Linked DNA regions of Daphnia pulex. The protein of the gene in region 2 binds, or shares a complex with, the protein of the main gene of each other region. Links are inferred from orthologs where the notes say so. Each region holds a gene or a part of one and is shown on either strand. Other genes may lie near its edges. The genes, in order: trafficking protein particle complex subunit 9-like, trafficking protein particle complex subunit 8-like and trafficking protein particle complex subunit 11-like.

Evidence for each region.
Region 1: trafficking protein particle complex subunit 8-like (region 2) and trafficking protein particle complex subunit 9-like share a complex: the UniProt entries of both Homo sapiens proteins name them as parts of the multisubunit TRAPP (transport protein particle) complex. The link is inferred for Daphnia pulex from reciprocal best matches to the Homo sapiens genes TRAPPC8 and TRAPPC9.
Region 3: trafficking protein particle complex subunit 8-like (region 2) and trafficking protein particle complex subunit 11-like share a complex: the UniProt entries of both Homo sapiens proteins name them as parts of the multisubunit TRAPP (transport protein particle) complex. The link is inferred for Daphnia pulex from reciprocal best matches to the Homo sapiens genes TRAPPC8 and TRAPPC11.

Annotation. Positions count from the first base shown.
Region 1 is NC_060024.1:7,058,284-7,063,960, reverse strand, and holds the start of trafficking protein particle complex subunit 9-like, read right to left. Parts: upstream 3,290-5,677; 5' UTR 3,247-3,289; exon of another isoform or gene 3,063-3,246; intron 3,003-3,062; 5' UTR 2,898-3,002; coding exon 2,823-2,897; intron 2,766-2,822; coding exon 2,562-2,765; intron 2,520-2,561; exon of another isoform or gene 2,506-2,519; coding exon 2,352-2,505; intron 2,257-2,351; coding exon 1,958-2,256; intron 1,893-1,957; coding exon 1,775-1,892; intron 1,718-1,774; coding exon 1,567-1,717; intron 1,507-1,566; coding exon 1,375-1,506; intron 1,152-1,374; coding exon 935-1,151; intron 879-934; coding exon 804-878; intron 736-803; coding exon 534-735; intron 475-533; coding exon 22-474; intron 1-21. UniProt on the Homo sapiens protein: Functions as an activator of NF-kappa-B through increased phosphorylation of the IKK complex. May function in neuronal cells differentiation. May play a role in vesicular transport from endoplasmic reticulum to Golgi.
Region 2 is NC_060026.1:3,046,798-3,051,868, reverse strand, and holds the end of trafficking protein particle complex subunit 8-like, read right to left. Parts: coding exon 4,893-5,071; intron 4,825-4,892; coding exon 4,697-4,824; intron 4,639-4,696; coding exon 4,453-4,638; intron 4,388-4,452; coding exon 4,200-4,387; intron 4,137-4,199; coding exon 4,009-4,136; intron 3,944-4,008; coding exon 3,753-3,943; intron 3,685-3,752; coding exon 3,561-3,684; intron 3,497-3,560; coding exon 3,067-3,496; intron 3,007-3,066; coding exon 2,868-3,006; intron 2,804-2,867; coding exon 2,710-2,803; intron 2,651-2,709; coding exon 2,448-2,650; intron 2,381-2,447; coding exon 2,295-2,380; intron 2,219-2,294; coding exon 2,120-2,218; intron 2,019-2,119; coding exon 1,932-2,018; intron 1,870-1,931; coding exon 1,617-1,869; 3' UTR 1,575-1,616; downstream 1-1,574. Other genes in the region: uncharacterized protein LOC124205264, read left to right, coding at 1,182-1,197, 1,273-1,574. UniProt on the Homo sapiens protein: Plays a role in endoplasmic reticulum to Golgi apparatus trafficking at a very early stage. Maintains together with TBC1D14 the cycling pool of ATG9 required for initiation of autophagy. Involved in collagen secretion.
Region 3 is NC_060025.1:1,286,074-1,291,827, reverse strand, and holds the start of trafficking protein particle complex subunit 11-like, read right to left. Parts: upstream 3,302-5,754; 5' UTR 3,160-3,301; coding exon 2,959-3,159; intron 2,890-2,958; coding exon 2,720-2,889; intron 2,655-2,719; coding exon 2,466-2,654; intron 2,405-2,465; coding exon 2,000-2,404; intron 1,933-1,999; coding exon 1,605-1,932; intron 1,546-1,604; coding exon 1,467-1,545; intron 1,403-1,466; coding exon 1,348-1,402; intron 1,283-1,347; coding exon 869-1,282; intron 809-868; coding exon 631-808; intron 574-630; coding exon 1-573. Other genes in the region: uncharacterized protein LOC124202179, read left to right, coding at 3,966-4,217, 4,290-4,483, 4,551-4,798, 4,878-5,021, 5,085-5,176. UniProt on the Homo sapiens protein: Involved in endoplasmic reticulum to Golgi apparatus trafficking at a very early stage.

The DNA.
Region 1 (5,677 bases), on a different chromosome or scaffold from region 2:
AAAAATAATAAAATCACAGACCCATTTCAACTAGAGTTTTTCTTGTTGGTTGCTTTCTGAAAGACCCAAACTGAATAGGAGTAAACAAAAAGGGGCCATTGTTGATTTCGTCTTCGAGCATTAGCCTCTGAGCAGCCAATACAGCTCCAGGTGGTTGCAGTTTGAAATGAACAATTTTGGGTAAAAGAGTTAAGGACACCGGTGGAATAATGGTGCCATTTTCTAGAGCAAGTGGCCCAGGATGCAATGGCATTTCTGAGCGTTGTGCTAGCTGATCAAGCTGCTTAGCCATTTCGGCTTGCTCTTGGCTTGACAATATTGGAATAGCACCAACTTGTTGCTGCTGGATCAAAAGCAAGTGAACAAGCAAAGAAGCATGACGAATGGCCAATGGAACATTTCCTAATCGCCTTGCAGTCCCGGTAAGTTCTTGTAAAATTTGAACTTGAAGCGCGTGCCACCCACATGCGTGTTCTGTTAGCATTTAAAAAGGATAATATTCACATGAAGAAAATGTATTAAAATTTGTTAACCATGAGATAGCAATGCAGGATCCAGTGAGAGTTTATATCCGTCAATAGACTCAAGAAGAAGCTGATAACAAAGTGTCCAGTTGGGTTGAATTGTTGTCATTGGGGCAACACAACGCATTGCGGACACGCGGCGGAAAAATGAGCTTTTCCGTTTAAATCCTAATTGACTGTAGAGTTCTGAAAGGGCAGTAAATCTCTGAATCTAGAATGTGAACTGATATTTTTAAAGCAATTCAATCGATAAATTATGGTACATGAAAGTTCTGAAACCTTTTCTTCATCAGATAGGTGTAAGTTGATAAAAACAACATTTTGTAAAAATTCAGCAGCCGAAAGGTATTTCCTCTGCCAAAACAGAAAAGTCAGCTTTTTGAAAAGAACTAGAAAAAAAAAAATCGAACCTGTTCAATAAGTACATGGACAGCTTTTATGGACGCTTCTGTTTCTATAACTCCTGCATTGCGATACTTGGAGTAATGAACAACGGCTTCATGGTACTTTTCAATCACTTCATCCGGTCCAAGGGAATGTTTGAATTTCAACCGATTCTTCAAAAAATGGTGATTAGAATCAATATCAGGAGGAAGAGAACGCACTCCTACTCCGGAAGAATTTGACCTGAAGGAAATCGTATTGATGAATTTTAGCAAACTCAAAGGAAATTAATATGTGTACAAGGTATATCACGCCGAAACGTAAACAAAGGAAAGGTTTTTTGTTTTGTTTTTTATTTTAATATTTTTTTGTGGTTTTTTGCCACCATTTCTTACGTAATACAATTGCTTAGCTTGGGAATTTCCCTTATTATTTAAAATACACTCATATGCGATGTTGTTTATACCTGATTCGACTATTAAATCCTTCCCCCGTTAACGACCCGTTTCTCTGGATGGCGACGGGCCTCCGTAGATGAGGATATAAGAGTATGATCGATGCAGCGCAAAGTCCTTCAAAAGATCCAGCCAGCCAAAGCCTATTGAACATTAAACGAATCATCTACTAACTTGGTAGAAAATTAAATTTCTTTCAGTACCAATCATTCGCAGGTCTAAGGACATCCGCTGCCGCCTGATACTGTTCAAGTGCTTCGGATAACAAACCTGCCTGAAGAGATAAATCTCCTACTTGCTTTCTCCATCGACCAACACAACGTTTTCGATGAGTTCGAGATTCTAAATCCATTCCTGAGAGAGGGATAACACAATATGTCACCTGGGTTATCCTAAAAATGTTTTTAATACCAATTAAATCCTTTCGTTCGAATGGTGCGCACAAAAACGGCTGCTTTTCCTTGTCGATGTTGCTGATCGATACAAGCCTTTTCGATTCCAATACCCAAAAAAGGGAAGAAACAAAATCCTGACACAACAAACTAAATTAGAATGAACTGAAATCAAAAGCTTTAGCACTTCAAGTTATAGTACCTGTAAATCTGCTTCTAGAGTGACACATTTGTCAAGACTAGGATAATAGAGAGTACGAGATGGATGAGATACAACTTTACTGATGTTATCATAGTTTGTAGATGTTGATGTTTCATTAAAACTATCTTGGTGACTGATGTCACAAGTAATTGCCCTTTCTTTATCAGTTAAAGAAGGTATTTCTATCTGTGTGTTGTGATTTTTCATTGGCAAGGTTGAATGCTCAGGATCTTTGGAGAGCTCTAGCTGCTGTTTCTCGTTTGGAGAAGCTTCTGAAACTGACGACACATAAGGTGTACCTTTCAACAGACAGAACAAAATTAAATAGGAAACACTTAACCTTTATAACTTATCTCAAGATAACATAATTTGAAAACCAAATTCTATCACTTACCATCATGTTGTAGCCCCAGAAAAAGGCAGCATGAATCATACAAAGTTCCACTGAATTTTGATCTTAAAGATTCATGAATTTTGCTCAGTTCACTCACTTCCTGTGTGTTTGAGCATTCACCAACACAAATAAGGCCAAGAACTCTACGATGGGTCTAAATTCCAAGGTCTATAAAAATTGTGAAAATTTATGTTCCAAAATATAACTCACCTGGAAATCTCCCCATTCGTTGTTTTCAATAGGATAGGATCTTACATAGCGGGCTGAAATATTTCTCACACTTCCTGAGCTATCTTTAATCCTAAAACTGTTTTGCCTTGATATTCGTTCATAGAGTCTAGAAAAGTTTCTGGTGTTGAGCTTTGACCCAAGATGCCTCACCATAATTAATAAGGAAGCATGATCATGGGCTGTCTGGAATTAAAATTGGAAATGAGATGTATTTTCATATTTTTTAACATAATTGTTTACTTGTCTATAATCTGGGTGAGACATATTTGACTCAGGAGCTGGAGATGACAAAATTGCACTAACAGCGGATCGCATGAGGATATAAGTTGTTATAGTTTTCTTCCTTGTTTGCGTTGAACTGAACAACACAGAAATGATAACGTTATTATCAATCACTTCCAGAATTCTTCTTCTTAAAACCTGTTATGAAACAAATATGAAACCGTAATGAATATGTTAAATAATAATGAAGATTTTTACTTCAATTTTCAAGTGTGTCAATACTCAAACTGTGTCATTAAAATTAATTCAAAAATTAATTCTGCTCCTTTCCCATGACACCATCAAGCATCGACACCAGTAAATCTAACCTGAAATGACTAGTTACTGTTCTTGTCTAGAAAATTGAAAACAATCGTGAAGTCGAAACAGCAAAACCACATACAGTTTATAACCAGGCCATGGACTACTCTATTTAAGAGGACGGGTAGGGCTGTGGCCCGGGACGTTTTTAGCGGGTTTTTTTTTAATGGGTTTTTTAGACGGGTTTTTCTTCTTCCGCGGGTCGTAGCGGGTTGGGCCAACTGAGTGACCGGGTTTGGCCCGGGCCAACCCATGGGTCAAAAAATTTATACCGGTCGGGTAACGGCCCGGGTAAAAAATCGGGTCAAACACACTTTTTTTTTACAAACTTAAAAAAAATCCCTAAATTTCTTAATTATCTTCTTCTTCCAACAGTGACACGTCAATTCTGTCTTCTGAACACCCCTGAACGCCCTTTTCTACCACTTATCTTACTTTTCATGCTACGAAATTATCGTAGAGCATTTGGCGGCAATATTTTGAGGCCGCAGGCATAGAGAATAACGAGCTTCTCTATTTGACTACTAGATGGCGCCACCGCTCGGGTTGGCCCGCGGGCCCGGGGGTTCAACCCGTCGCCCGCCCCGTTAAAAAAAATGCCTCGGTGGGTCGAGTCGGGTTGGGTTTTTTTTCGTTCAGCCCGGGCGGTGGCCCGGGTTTTCATCGCCCGGGCCACAGCCCTAAGGACGGGACTCTTTCCCTCGCCGTGTTAAAGCCTGTCGGGTTGGGTTAATTTCACTAAGGAAGCCCAAAACCGCCACTTTTTCAATATAATAATGATTTTCAAAATATCATTATATAAAACAGAAAAGAATATATAAAAAACAAATTCAATATAAAACTGAAAAAAGTATTATATAAAAACCAAGAAGAGTGTAATATAAAAAACAAAAAGTTGATATAAAAAGCAAAAAAAAGTCAATATAAAACCCCCAAAAAGTTCAATATATAATCCCAAAAAAGTTCAATATAAAAACGGCAGCCACCTAGCGGTCAAAATAATTACTTCATGCCACATCTCCACCCCCTTTATAGCCAGTTTGAATCCAGTAGTACAAACGGGCATTTAATCACAAAATAAAAAAACGAGCAAGCGCTTAAATAACGCTACCTAATGCGCGTCGCTCTAAATTTTTATTTTTTTAAATGTCAAGCGAAGTAAAACGACTGCGGCTGACTGCGGCGACTGGTCAGACGAGTAACGTGAGCCCGTCCGATTTTTTAAAAGCGCTTATCGCTGGTCCGTTTGCTATTTTAGCGCTGTCGCCCGTTCGCTGTTTTCGGCGGCTCATTATAAGCTAATAAGCCATTCAAATGATTTGCAATAAGCGCGCGTTGCGCTAGCAATTGGTTTGCGATAAACTTGCGCGCGATGCGCTAAATATATATTTAGCGCAATTTATTTCATTGTATTATTTACGAAACGCCCAAGCGCTTCGTTAATAAAAGTAATAAATGCGACAGGTAAAACGATTGCGGCGACTGGACAAGTTGCGCACACCCGTTGATAATTTTAGCGCTTGTCTCGAGTCCGTTTATAGCTTACGAAACACGCAAGCGATAAAATAAATGTTTAACGCTTATTGCGCGATATGTGCTCAATTTGAGCGTATTATTTAATCCTATATTTAAAAAAGCGAAAGCGCTTAAATAACGCTACTTAATGCGAATGGCTCTAAATTATTTGTTTGTATTGAATGCAAAGGGAAACCACTGCGCTGACTGGTTAGACGAGTAATGCGAGCCCGTCCGCTATTTCCGCTGCTCCTTCCGCTGTTTTCGGCGGATCATTGCGTGAAAAATAATTAATTGAAATGTTTCGCGCTAGATCTAGCGCTATCGAAGCGATCGTGGGACTAGCTATGTGTTTGCGATAAACTTGCGCGTGATTCGCTATATTTAGGGCAATTTATTTCATTGCATTATTTAGGAAACGCGCAAGCGTTTCGTTAATTTTAATAAAATGTTGCGAAAGGGTAAACGATTACCGCAAATGGACGAGACGGGACGAGAAGCGTGCGCCCGTACATCATATTAGCGTTTGTCGCGAGTCCGTTCGCTACCTTATTAGCGCTAATCGTCGTCCGTCCAAAGTTTTACACGGCTCGCTGGGCCAAACATTTTAAATAGTTCGCGCTAGATGTAGCGCTTTCTTTCTTAAGCGCCCATTGCGCTAATAATTAACTAAAGATTTACTTGCAGGCAATGCGTCAAATTAAGCGCATTTAAATTCATTAAATAATTTACAAACGCAAATAACTAGCAAAAATAAATATTTAGCGCGAAAAATAATGAAGTCAATATATTTTGCGCTAGATCTATCGCTAAATATTTATTTTAGCAAATTATATGCGCGCTTCGTAATTTATGTGATGAACTTAATCCGACTATTTAGCGCATTGAGCGCAAGTTAATCTTAAGTTTATCATAAGCGAGTTTATGATTTCGCAGCGCTAGAACTTTGACATTGTTTTGCGCAGCGAGCCGCCTTAAACAGCGGACGGACGACGATA
Region 2 (5,071 bases):
ATGGATGTAAGAGAGATTAGATTTGAGGGATTGAGAGACTTATCCTTTACAACATATTTTTGCATCCGATAATTGATTTCAGTTCTGATTTCTTTGATTTTCTTTTCCTTTGGCTTTCTAATGGCGAAAAAAGTGAAAGGATCACCCTTCTTTCGTCTTTGAGTCAAATCATGTTTCTATGCTGAGTATCTCCAGTCCGTACTTGCAGTTGAGTTTCGTAGTCACCCATTTTGGGTTCTTTCCCATTGGAAGTCAGCGGTCTGTGAAAAGACTCTCAATGGGCTCCAAAGAAACTACCGGCAGAACAAATCACGTCTTCGGACGTCATCTCTTTTTTCCAACAAATTTCTCATACCTAATTTCGCTCTTCTTCTTTTGATGAAAATGGAATAATATTTCCCCTCCTTTTTTGTAATACTCCCATTGTGTATACTTGTATACATATATAAACTGAATTTTTCTCTTCCGATATACGGTCCATTACTAAACCATATACTGTACGAGTTCTCTTTTTTCGTCTCACTTCTAAACTCGCTTCCCGATCTACTAGACGCTCTGTTTATACAAATGACGTCCATCGTAAAGATCGTAAGTTTGTAACCCACAAAATCCCGTTGTCTTTGCTAGTTGGTCTCACGCTCCGAAATTGTGTCGGTAGTTCGTACGATTAAAGCTTTAAACTCTATTGATATACTCTAAAAACCCTTTGACTATTTCAATAAAATTTCTTGTTTAACAAATCAAATTAATTTTATCCTCAATGACATTGAGATTCAAGTCAATATTAACATGAGTCAATGTTGACTATGTGAAGTGTGATTACGTCATTGCCATAACCGTCATCTTCTCCTCTATTATAACGTAATTAAATTACGTTAAATTACGGTAATTTCAATTTTGAATATAATAAAAAGTATTAATAAATGTTGTAATGAAATTAGTAGTGAAGACCTGAGTGGAAAACGCCAACTAATTGGACGATAGGTGGGGCAGCTTCGTTTGGGATAGAATCTTTATCGGGAGATTGTATTTGTATTCCTCCCGCGACCACAAGGTGTGCTGCTTCCGCCTTCCAGCTGTCAACTAATTCATTCTGTCGTCTGCTGTTGCAACTGTTTGCAGTTATTTGAGACTTCCGAGTTTTTTTCCAAGATTTTCTTGTTTATTCCATCAAGTTAAAGATGAACCAAAACAGCTGTAAGCCAATTAATTTTTTTCCCCACTTGATGCATTGATGCATCACTTAAAAATTTCCATTGAAAAATTTAACAGTAATTGGAGCGAATTTAAGAAGAACACTGATGTTGTCCCCTGGTCAACAAGAAATCCCTCCCAAAGTTACACAAGGAGCAAACCGAACTGAAATGGAACTAGGTGTGAGTGAAAAGGAGAAAACCGATCAAGCTTTCATGAAAGTGTCATTTGAAAGGTACATCTCCCAAATCCTTTCCTCAACAGAGCTGGAAGCTCACGAAGAAAGATTGAAGAAGATAAATGAAGAAGCTCGTAATCTTTCCAAAGATGAATGGATGTATCCTTCAATTGAGAAGCTTCTTGGAAATTGGAGTCAATGATTAAAATCTGAACAACTTTATTTTTTCACCTACATAATACAATTAAACTTCCTTGTGATCAACAATCAATGTATACTCAATTTTTGGACTTGGTACTCTAACATTTTCACCCAACATTCTTGCATCGATTTGTAACCCTTGAACAAGACTGTAAGCACCTGGCCTTGAAACTGCTATAGTCAAGTGAACTGCTTCAGGTGTATCTTTCAAACAAACATCTCCTTGAACACGACCTATCCAAAGTAGGGGAGAAGCAGCTTCAGGCATGTACAACTGAGAAGCACGTGGGGGTTTCCTGGGGAAAAAATCACTTGGTTGGGGTGAATAAAAATTTGTTAATGTCATTATAAATTTTACCCTGTATTGAAGTTGGCTGAATAATGAACATCGACTTGTTGCTGACTGCAATTGTGAAGATACAAAGTTACTGGTATAACACACAACCTATTAGAAAAATATGCAATGATAATGAAGTGATGAAATTCAAAAAATAATTGAAACACTTGTTTTTAAAGAACTAGGCCTACTATGTAGACCCAACTTACTTCTGTTGGTCAAAATCATGAAACACTTTTGTTGAATACTCCATGGAGTAGGAAACCAACTGCTGATGTGATTTCAAACTGGTTTCTGGCAAACTTGAGCTAAAAAGAAAAAAGACAGTTATAAGGAAACAGTTACTCAGCAGCATAAATTTAAAGTTAATTGAACAGTTCTAACCTTGCTATATCTTGGGAATTCCAACCAAAGTAATGTTGCCCTTCTATGAGTAAAGTACCAAATCCATCTTCAGAAGCTTGCGTAGCCTAGTCAAGAAGAAAACAAATTAGATCGTTGATTTAACTCAAAATGTTGTACAGTATAATATTTTACCGTCCAGCACACAACCAGAGTTGTGTCGGGTGTAGTTTTCTGAAATTCTTTAACGAATGATCGGTATGGGTCGAGTTGGAAATCGACAGCTCGTCCATGGCTTGGTAATTTTAGCACAACACTCTCGTTGTATTCTCTCTTTTCAGTTCCTCGGATGGCCAATAGCACCCCAATGAGGCTTTCTTGTGGATGAAGTACTCCGTCTAAACAAGACACAAAACACGTTGTTATTTGCTTTAAACAAGTTCAGTAATTATAGCACCTGGAATTGTTGACTGATCAGAACGCAAATGCCATCGATTGCTAAGAAGAGCCACCTGCGAAACTTCAATACCACTTAGTGATGTGTCATCCGCCTGAAATATATCCCAATATTATTTTCTGAAGTATCAATTGTTTCGTGAAATTTAATTGAATTACGTCTCTGAGGTTCCGAACTTGGAGTTGAACGGCCAATGTTTCAGTGCGATCCTCCCCACTCGGAACTCTTTGAACCCAGGCACCGAGGCTCAATGATGAAGAGACAAAGATTTTCGAACAGTGGCGAAGTAGACGATATCTTTACAAACAAATTGTAAGTCAATTATTTCTCATCAATCCAATTTTAATTTCCAATTACCTGGCTTTTATGGCGGGATTAGTAGAGAAAAACATGAGATCCAATGATGTTAACCCAACGTTTTCGGTGCCTTTCAACCACATTTTAATTGATTTTTGAGTGGGATCCCAACGGTAGAGTGCAATTTGATCATTTCGAACATTTTTGCTCTCAATGCGGGGAAGGTCGAAAGCGAGGTGTAAGGGATCGTTGGAAGCGATAATTATATTGGCAACGGGTACACTAGGGCAAATGTTGGAGAGTTCGACCACCACTGGGCGAATTTCTCCGCTAAATAGAAATTCTGGTAAGGAGTGGAACAGCACTTGCAATTTAGGCATGCGTGGCCCGACTTGGATCGAGAGTCTTTTGTCAGAAGCATATACTTTGCCATGACGTTCCTGTTGGGTCGCATTTAACCTCGGGCCCTGCAAGCTAAACATTACTCGCCCTAAAGCAAAATTTCAGTTTAAATTTGACGAAAATTAACCAACATAAAACACTAGTAAACTTACCTGACACTGACGACACTAATCCAACTACTGCTGCCGAAGGCTCTACATTGACTGGGCGAAGGTCAAAAGCGACTCCTTCAATGGTCAGCATTCCCTCTGCTTTGGGTTTCACGTTCAAAACAACCTAATTTTTACCGCAAAACTTAATATTAGCATTGCTGCAATTGAGCTGCAAACAGAAACAAATTAAACCTTATGTGAAGAAGAAGGATTCAGTACAATCCTTGGTAAAATGTAAGTGGTAACCAATGGATTGTTGTTTGTCATGAGTAGATTTGATAGGTTGCCGTCCGCTCCAGAGAAGTTCCACACTAGACGAATGTCACATAATAGGACAGGAATGCGCAAGGGGTTGGTCAAAGGTAATTCTAAACTAATGAGGTCTAAAAAAACCATGAAATATAAATTAGAATTTATCTTCTAAAACCGAAAAATTAATTTCTTTTACCATCACAATACGTTTGTGGATGAGCCGTATTGTTGGTCGTATTAGAAAATAGAAGATTGGTAGGCCGGAACATGGCATGAGTTGTGCCAAAGGCCGACTGCACCAGTTTCTCTTCCATATTGGCCCACCTATACAACACAACCATTCCATTATTGATGATTATTTTAAAAATAGTTAGGTGACAAACGTACTTTGCGTGATGAACTTCGTCGTCGTTGAAGGTGACATGAGAGGCCTCAGACACGGGCGGACAAATGTTTTCCGTGGGATCTTTCGTGTCAACTAATACTCTGATCTGGTTGCTATCGATCACAGGCAGGGGTAACACTGGAAGTGAAGTTGACGTTTTGATTTCGTTTTCTCGGTGTTTATTTAACAACTGTTTTGGGTTAAAAAAATTTATGAAATATCATATTGCAAAAAAATTAATTAAAAACCAGTTACCTGGTGAACGTGAATGAATTCATTTAAATAGGCGGTTTGCTGAGCGGCAGTCTGCAAAGAATCTGGCTTTAAAAGAGCACCCAACGCATGACAAGCTGCTTCAATCTGTTGTCGATTTAAGCATTGTCGCCCTACTGTGTAGTGTATGTGATCTTCAGCTAAGCTCCAACCATGCCCTTTATACACCTGGAACAAATTTGACTATGAGGAAAATCTGGGAAGATAAGCGGCTTAAAGGACATACTTGCAAGGCGAGTTGATAAGCTCGAGAAGCGTGGCGCTTTTGCCCCGACTTGCCAAACCGATGACCAGCCAGAATCATGTGGAAGGCGTATTTGCGGATGAGGGGCACCATGTTCGGCTTGGCGGCATCTAAAAATTAAGACCAAAATTGGTTTATTTATTCTTTTAAAGTTTCAATCTTCCGACATTTAAATTACCGCCAGATGACGAATTTGGTTTGACGGCAGATCGAAGAAAACAAAGGGCAGCTTGTTCTAGAAGGACGGCGCTTCGCAAATCGGCGTCTTCACTGGTAAGTCGAATTAGTTGTAGAGCGGCGTCACTGTATTGATTCGTCGCTTTAAGGCACTCGGATGCCAACACGGCACAGCGCGTG
Region 3 (5,754 bases), on a different chromosome or scaffold from region 2:
CTGGATCGTCTGAAACTGAGCCTCACACTCGACGGGTTGGACCGTTTCCAGCTCGAGCGTTTTGACGTACTGACTCTTGTAAGTGCATTTACTATTGCACACCTCGCTGGTTATTTCGTAATTGACCTGAAACGTGACGTAATGTTTACCAGGCTGCTCCATTTGAGTAAACACGTTCCATTGGCATGTTTGCCCGGTTGCGATTTCTTCGCTCTTCAACTGAACCGACAAATTGCCGTCGATTTTAGGCTGGTCGTGAACTCGGCCGTCAGTGCTGCTAGTCGTCACAGTCACCGTGACGTTGCTAATATCTTCTTTTTCCCGATTGACCAATTCAAGGTGAAGCGGATAACATTCACCACGAAGGGCCGGGGCGTCATGTCGGATCAAAAGCTCAACGTTTGCAGTCCGGGGCAGAATTTCGGCCGTGTTCAATACAAACAAACCGGACAAACCTTTCTCTGTAGCCGAAGGAAATTCAGAACGTGATGACCCAAATTCTTCACTGGAAGATCCTTCGCATCGCAAATAAGCCACAAGGTCATGCCCCATCTCCAACGTGACTGAAACAATCTATGGATGGATGAAATTACTTTCTCTTCTTCAATTGCCAATCAAAGTTAAACCTACTTGAAGTTCCGCACCAATGTCTTGAGATTGCGCAGCAAATTCAAACTCGTAGTGTCGGATCTGATTGGGTTCAAATTCCAACTCTTCCGGATCCTTCACTTGACAAAAGGGCAAATAGGCAGTATTGTTGAGAGCCACGTGTAAACTGGTGAACTGTATCGCCTTTGGACCCGTATAACTATTATGAAATTAAAGTTATTATTAAATTTGTATTTCAAGAGTAATTCCAACTCTTTACCTAACGTGAACTTCGAGTTCGACAACATCTTCGGCAGCAAATTGCTTTTGAGTAAAAGTGGCCTTGACTTCAACGAATGACGAAATCGTGTTGGTAACGATCGTGGTTACGCAGGCGCCGCTGGCCAAACTTGCAAATTGATCAGCCCATAGTTGAGTAGCCAACGAAACCGCGGTAGAGTCGGGAGGCGGCGGTGGTATCCTCTTTTGTAGGATTCCGATGAGATTATCGAATAATTGGCCCTTTTCATCTTGGCTTTTCATCGTCACCCGGGAACACAATTCTACGGCATATGTGAAGTATTCGGCAGGCCGACCGGAAAGAAAAGCACAACGCAAACCCAACTGGAGTAAAGATGTCAGTGGCATCCACCAGAAATCTTTGCGGTAATCCCAGAGCAAAGGTTCGAGCAACCTATACAAAGCGTTAATTTCCATTAATAATAAATTAAAATAAAAGTTGAAGTCAATTTTTATTACGTAAGGGCTTCCGCAAAGTTTTCCGATCGGCAATATTCTTCCGCCATTTGTACCACTAGGAGAAGAAAAATTTTAGTTTGCTCTGATACTGACTTTTAAAAGTGTAAGTGATAAATTACATAAATACTGCTTCATCCGAGGAGATCGGTGATTTTTAAATTGATTTACTGCATTTGTAAGAGCAGCAACGATCATACCCTACACACCAAGTTAAAATCGCTTATCAAAATAGGAAATGTTTTAATAAAAGGCAGTACCGTGAGATCAACTTGATGTCTTTCGCGGATTAACATTGCAGCAATCCCGTCGTTCTCAGCTTTCATATCAGCTGGTTCAAGACTCAACCGACTAGGTCGCCAGGGTCTTTGACCGAAGAATTCCAATTGTGACGATTCGCCGAACGATAATGGAGTCAAGTTATTAATGACAGTTTCGTCGAGAGCATCGTAATCTTGGTAGCAAGCCTTCTTCCTTAGGATGGATTGCTGCGCAGACTGTTGGTAGAAGAAGCCAGGATGTTGAGTCTGGATTGCCGGAAGTCCTAACTCAATCGCATCGTCAAACAAACTGCCAAACGTCGAAAATCTAAACAAAAGAATTCGTAAAATTTAATGAAAAATAATTTTTGAAATAAATTTTATTTTAATTTTACTGGGCAGCCAGCCAGGCGTGATGTTCGAATTTGCTCAAAGGGTTACCAATCCGCAGCCGAAAAAAGTCCATGTGACTCCTGAAATGGGCGATAGCTTCGCGAGGCAGATTGAGCAAGAACGAGAGACGCCAGACCTTGTAGCCGATGTATCCAGCGACAATCTTCACTTCAGTGACATTGGCATCTGTGATGCGAAGCTCTAGCAAATGGGCATACGATTGGCTGTAATGCTTGTGCGCCATGGCAACGTCCTGCTTAAGCTCGTGGTAAAATCCGATTTTAAACTGATGTCTCACAAACAAGTAGCCGTGATTTGTACGGTTCAATTGGTCGCGGTGGGAGCGAACGGCCCTCGATGACAAATGATAACTACTTTGACAAAGTTCGTAAAATGCGCTCTCCAACCTGTTTCGTAGTATAGTGTAACATTATATAACTCACGACTACATTTAAAATAACGTGATACCTCAAGGTGTATCCCTGTAGATGATCGCTACGGCAAGGAAGGACAAAGAGCGATTTAGGTGGTAATTCACACACTTGGCACAAAGCTGCAGCTCTATCTGCTGCCAAAATATCTTCACTGGAAGGTAATGGAGGGCTATTTTGTAAGAGGACTAGGCAGAGCTTACTACCCCTTCCCATAAGCTTCATACTGGATAGAAAAATTATAGTTAATAACAAAATATTTGAGTTCAAGTTTATGACTGAATGATTTACCGAGTTGTTTGGATTAGATGTGCACATTCTGCATGTTTAGCTTTCCATGCAGGATCGTCCCACTCCAAATCATAGAAGAGAACCAAGACACCTGGAATCTGTTTCAGGTGTTTGGACATCCATTTTCTTTTGAGGATGCCTTTAGGAATGTACCATTCATATGACGTTCTCTAAAACAAATGAGTGAAAAACAAACATTTAAAAAAAACTTTGATCTCTCAACCTAAAAGATAAATTACATCAGGTTTCGCCAGGGGGAATGCATGATTAACTCCAAAAAGAACGAAATGGAGGGGAGGTCTCTCGCTTCGATTAGATGACGTGAAAGAGTTCCATATCAGCAGGTGAGTCTGATTCGTTTCAACATTCAGTCCCGTCAGACCGACCAACGCTAACGGTCGATCCACCAACTCTTCGGGTAATTCGAGATCCGAGCTCATTATTTTTCTAACTTCAAGGGCGATGATGAACAATGTGTAAAAACCATGAGAAGCCAAAACAAAACTACGAACAATTTCCACCCTAAAACTCTACCCCGGTAGCAGACGAAATATCAAACATAGAAAAACAAAAAATAATGCTGTATTGCCAGTTTGCCAATTTTCAAAATTTAAGGTAAACTTTCTTTGATATTTTCTTAGTTTGTTTTGTACATACCCTGCACCCAGAACAATGTTAAGACAACGTGGAAGTAATTCGCGGAAATATGCCTTCCTAATTAATTAAGCTTAATTAATTCAATAGGGTTGGAAAACCATTTGAAAACAAACAAAACAGCATGTTGATGGGACATGGGAATGAGTCATGGAACACCCTTTAAAATTCCACGAACTCTTTTATCATTAGGCTTTCGTAGTAATTAACAAATTATTCAAAACAAAATTGTTACTCATCGTACCGATAAGGCTATAACAAAAGAGAACTTCGGACCCCATGCCCCATGCGCAATTAAGAACGGATTCAGAGTTGCCAAATTTTGTCTGACAAATTTAATTTTTATTGAACCCATCCCTTGATTTGCCATAAAGAAAATAATCTTAGTTTATTACTCGCCCCTTGTTACAGATTGCAGTCGAAAAACGCCGCGCTGTAAGAGCGTCGTCACGTGTCACCTTTATTAATTCCAATTGGTACTAGTTTTATCGGTGGTTCTTTTGGCATTTAATTTAAGGTACATCAATTCTTCTCATTACTTTATTTGCAATGTTATTAAATTATTCCACGAGGTGTTAGGTTAACAAGGAAAATGGCTAGACATTTGCAATCGACACCATCAATCGTCGTGGAAGATGTCGACCGAATTCAGACTCGTTTGGAATTTCAGTCTCCACCATCGTATACACTAAAGATCCAAGACAACAACAACTGTCATTCGCCATTGAGTCTGTGTACCAGTTTCGGCATAATCAAACCCGATGTCGACGCTTATGTCACGCCCCTCTCTCTTTGCCAACAACCGTCGACGCCGATTTCACCTTCCGTCCCAGTTTACTTTCCAGTTGAGTTTACTTGTGCAGCAATTTGTTTTGTTGTATTGCTTAAACTAATTGATTGAAAATTGAATCGACAGTCGAGAGAAAAAGTCATTGTGGTGTCTGGTGGTGCGATGCCGCCATGCTTGGCCACGTCAGGATTGGAGAGCAGCTTCACTTCCGTCGATATTGGCGGCCCAAATCATCCAACCGCTAGATCATCTATTGGCGATAATGATTCGAGTTGGAATTCCGATGTTAGCCATCAAACCACTGGTTGCTTCGATCTCAAGTAAATTTTTCTTTCCATAACTTTATGGTATTTTTAGTGTTTTAATTGAAATTTCTTGAACTGATAGATCGGGTCTGATTTGCGTAACACGGGCTATTACTGGTAGTGTCGATCCAACAAGAGAAAAGTGTGATCACCACCGAGTCGACATGAGTGAAAGTCCTTTAGAATTGCATCCAGTCAAATCTGGACGACCATCAGCTGGGGTGCATGGGTCCAAGAAAAGAATGTCGGCGTGTTCCATGATTGGCATTTTCTTCATCTGCCTCGCAGTAGTCGGACTAGTCGCTATTGGAATCGCAATGTACATCGAATGTAAGGGTTTATTTGTTTTTTTACTTTTTGATCTTCGTTACCAAAAAGACAATCGCTTTTATTTCAATTGTTTTTCCAGTCGTGTCGAAGCCGTTGTGGATCGCGAAAAGTAAGTTACCGGTATTGAACGAGACGACGATATGCGACTATTTGCTTGACAGCTGTGATAATAGCACTTTGTTGGCTACCACTGCTGCTGAGCTAACTGCTGGCAATCAAAAAAGTAAATTAAGGAATCATGTTTTTGCAAATTTGAAGGGAAGGCTAATATTTTATTCTGTATTAGATTTCACATTGGAAAGCGGTAGAGTGGAAGCGACATTTAGCAGCAATTTTACCAGCCAAATCTCCAGCAAACTTCCTGCAAAAACAGCATGAATAATCTAGTCCTTTGAGAGACTACTCACGTTTTATTTTAAACACTGAACGAAATTTATGGTGTCGAAAAGAAATTGATATGATTTTAGATTCTTGATTGTTTATTTGCAAATTTTATGTATATGATGAGCGCATTTTATCACACAATACAGTATTAAAATTTTATTTCTCAACATTTTGAAGTTTGAATGCTTTTCATTACAGCTATGTGGCGCCATGTACGGCATTTTCATGAACCATAACTTCCGCATAATGGTAGTAAGATACATGGCCTTCATTTCTATCAGTCTTTACCGAAAGTAAGATTAGCAGAGCCATAGATACCTGGTCGGTTCTCGGCTGTGTTGGCTTCCCTATCCCGGTTTCAGGGTAAACGTATCCCCGATTTTCAGACATTTTAGGGCGGAGCTTGTCAGAAGTTGTGAAGTGGAAAAATGAATCAGCGCCATCTAGTGATAAGACGTTGACTTTCAAATAATACTTTCGGCGGCCATTTTTGTGTAATATGTGAATACGTTCGCCATCATCGTGTATTACGTGAATGAAGCCTAACCATAATTTCTGTAAAAATGGTTGGC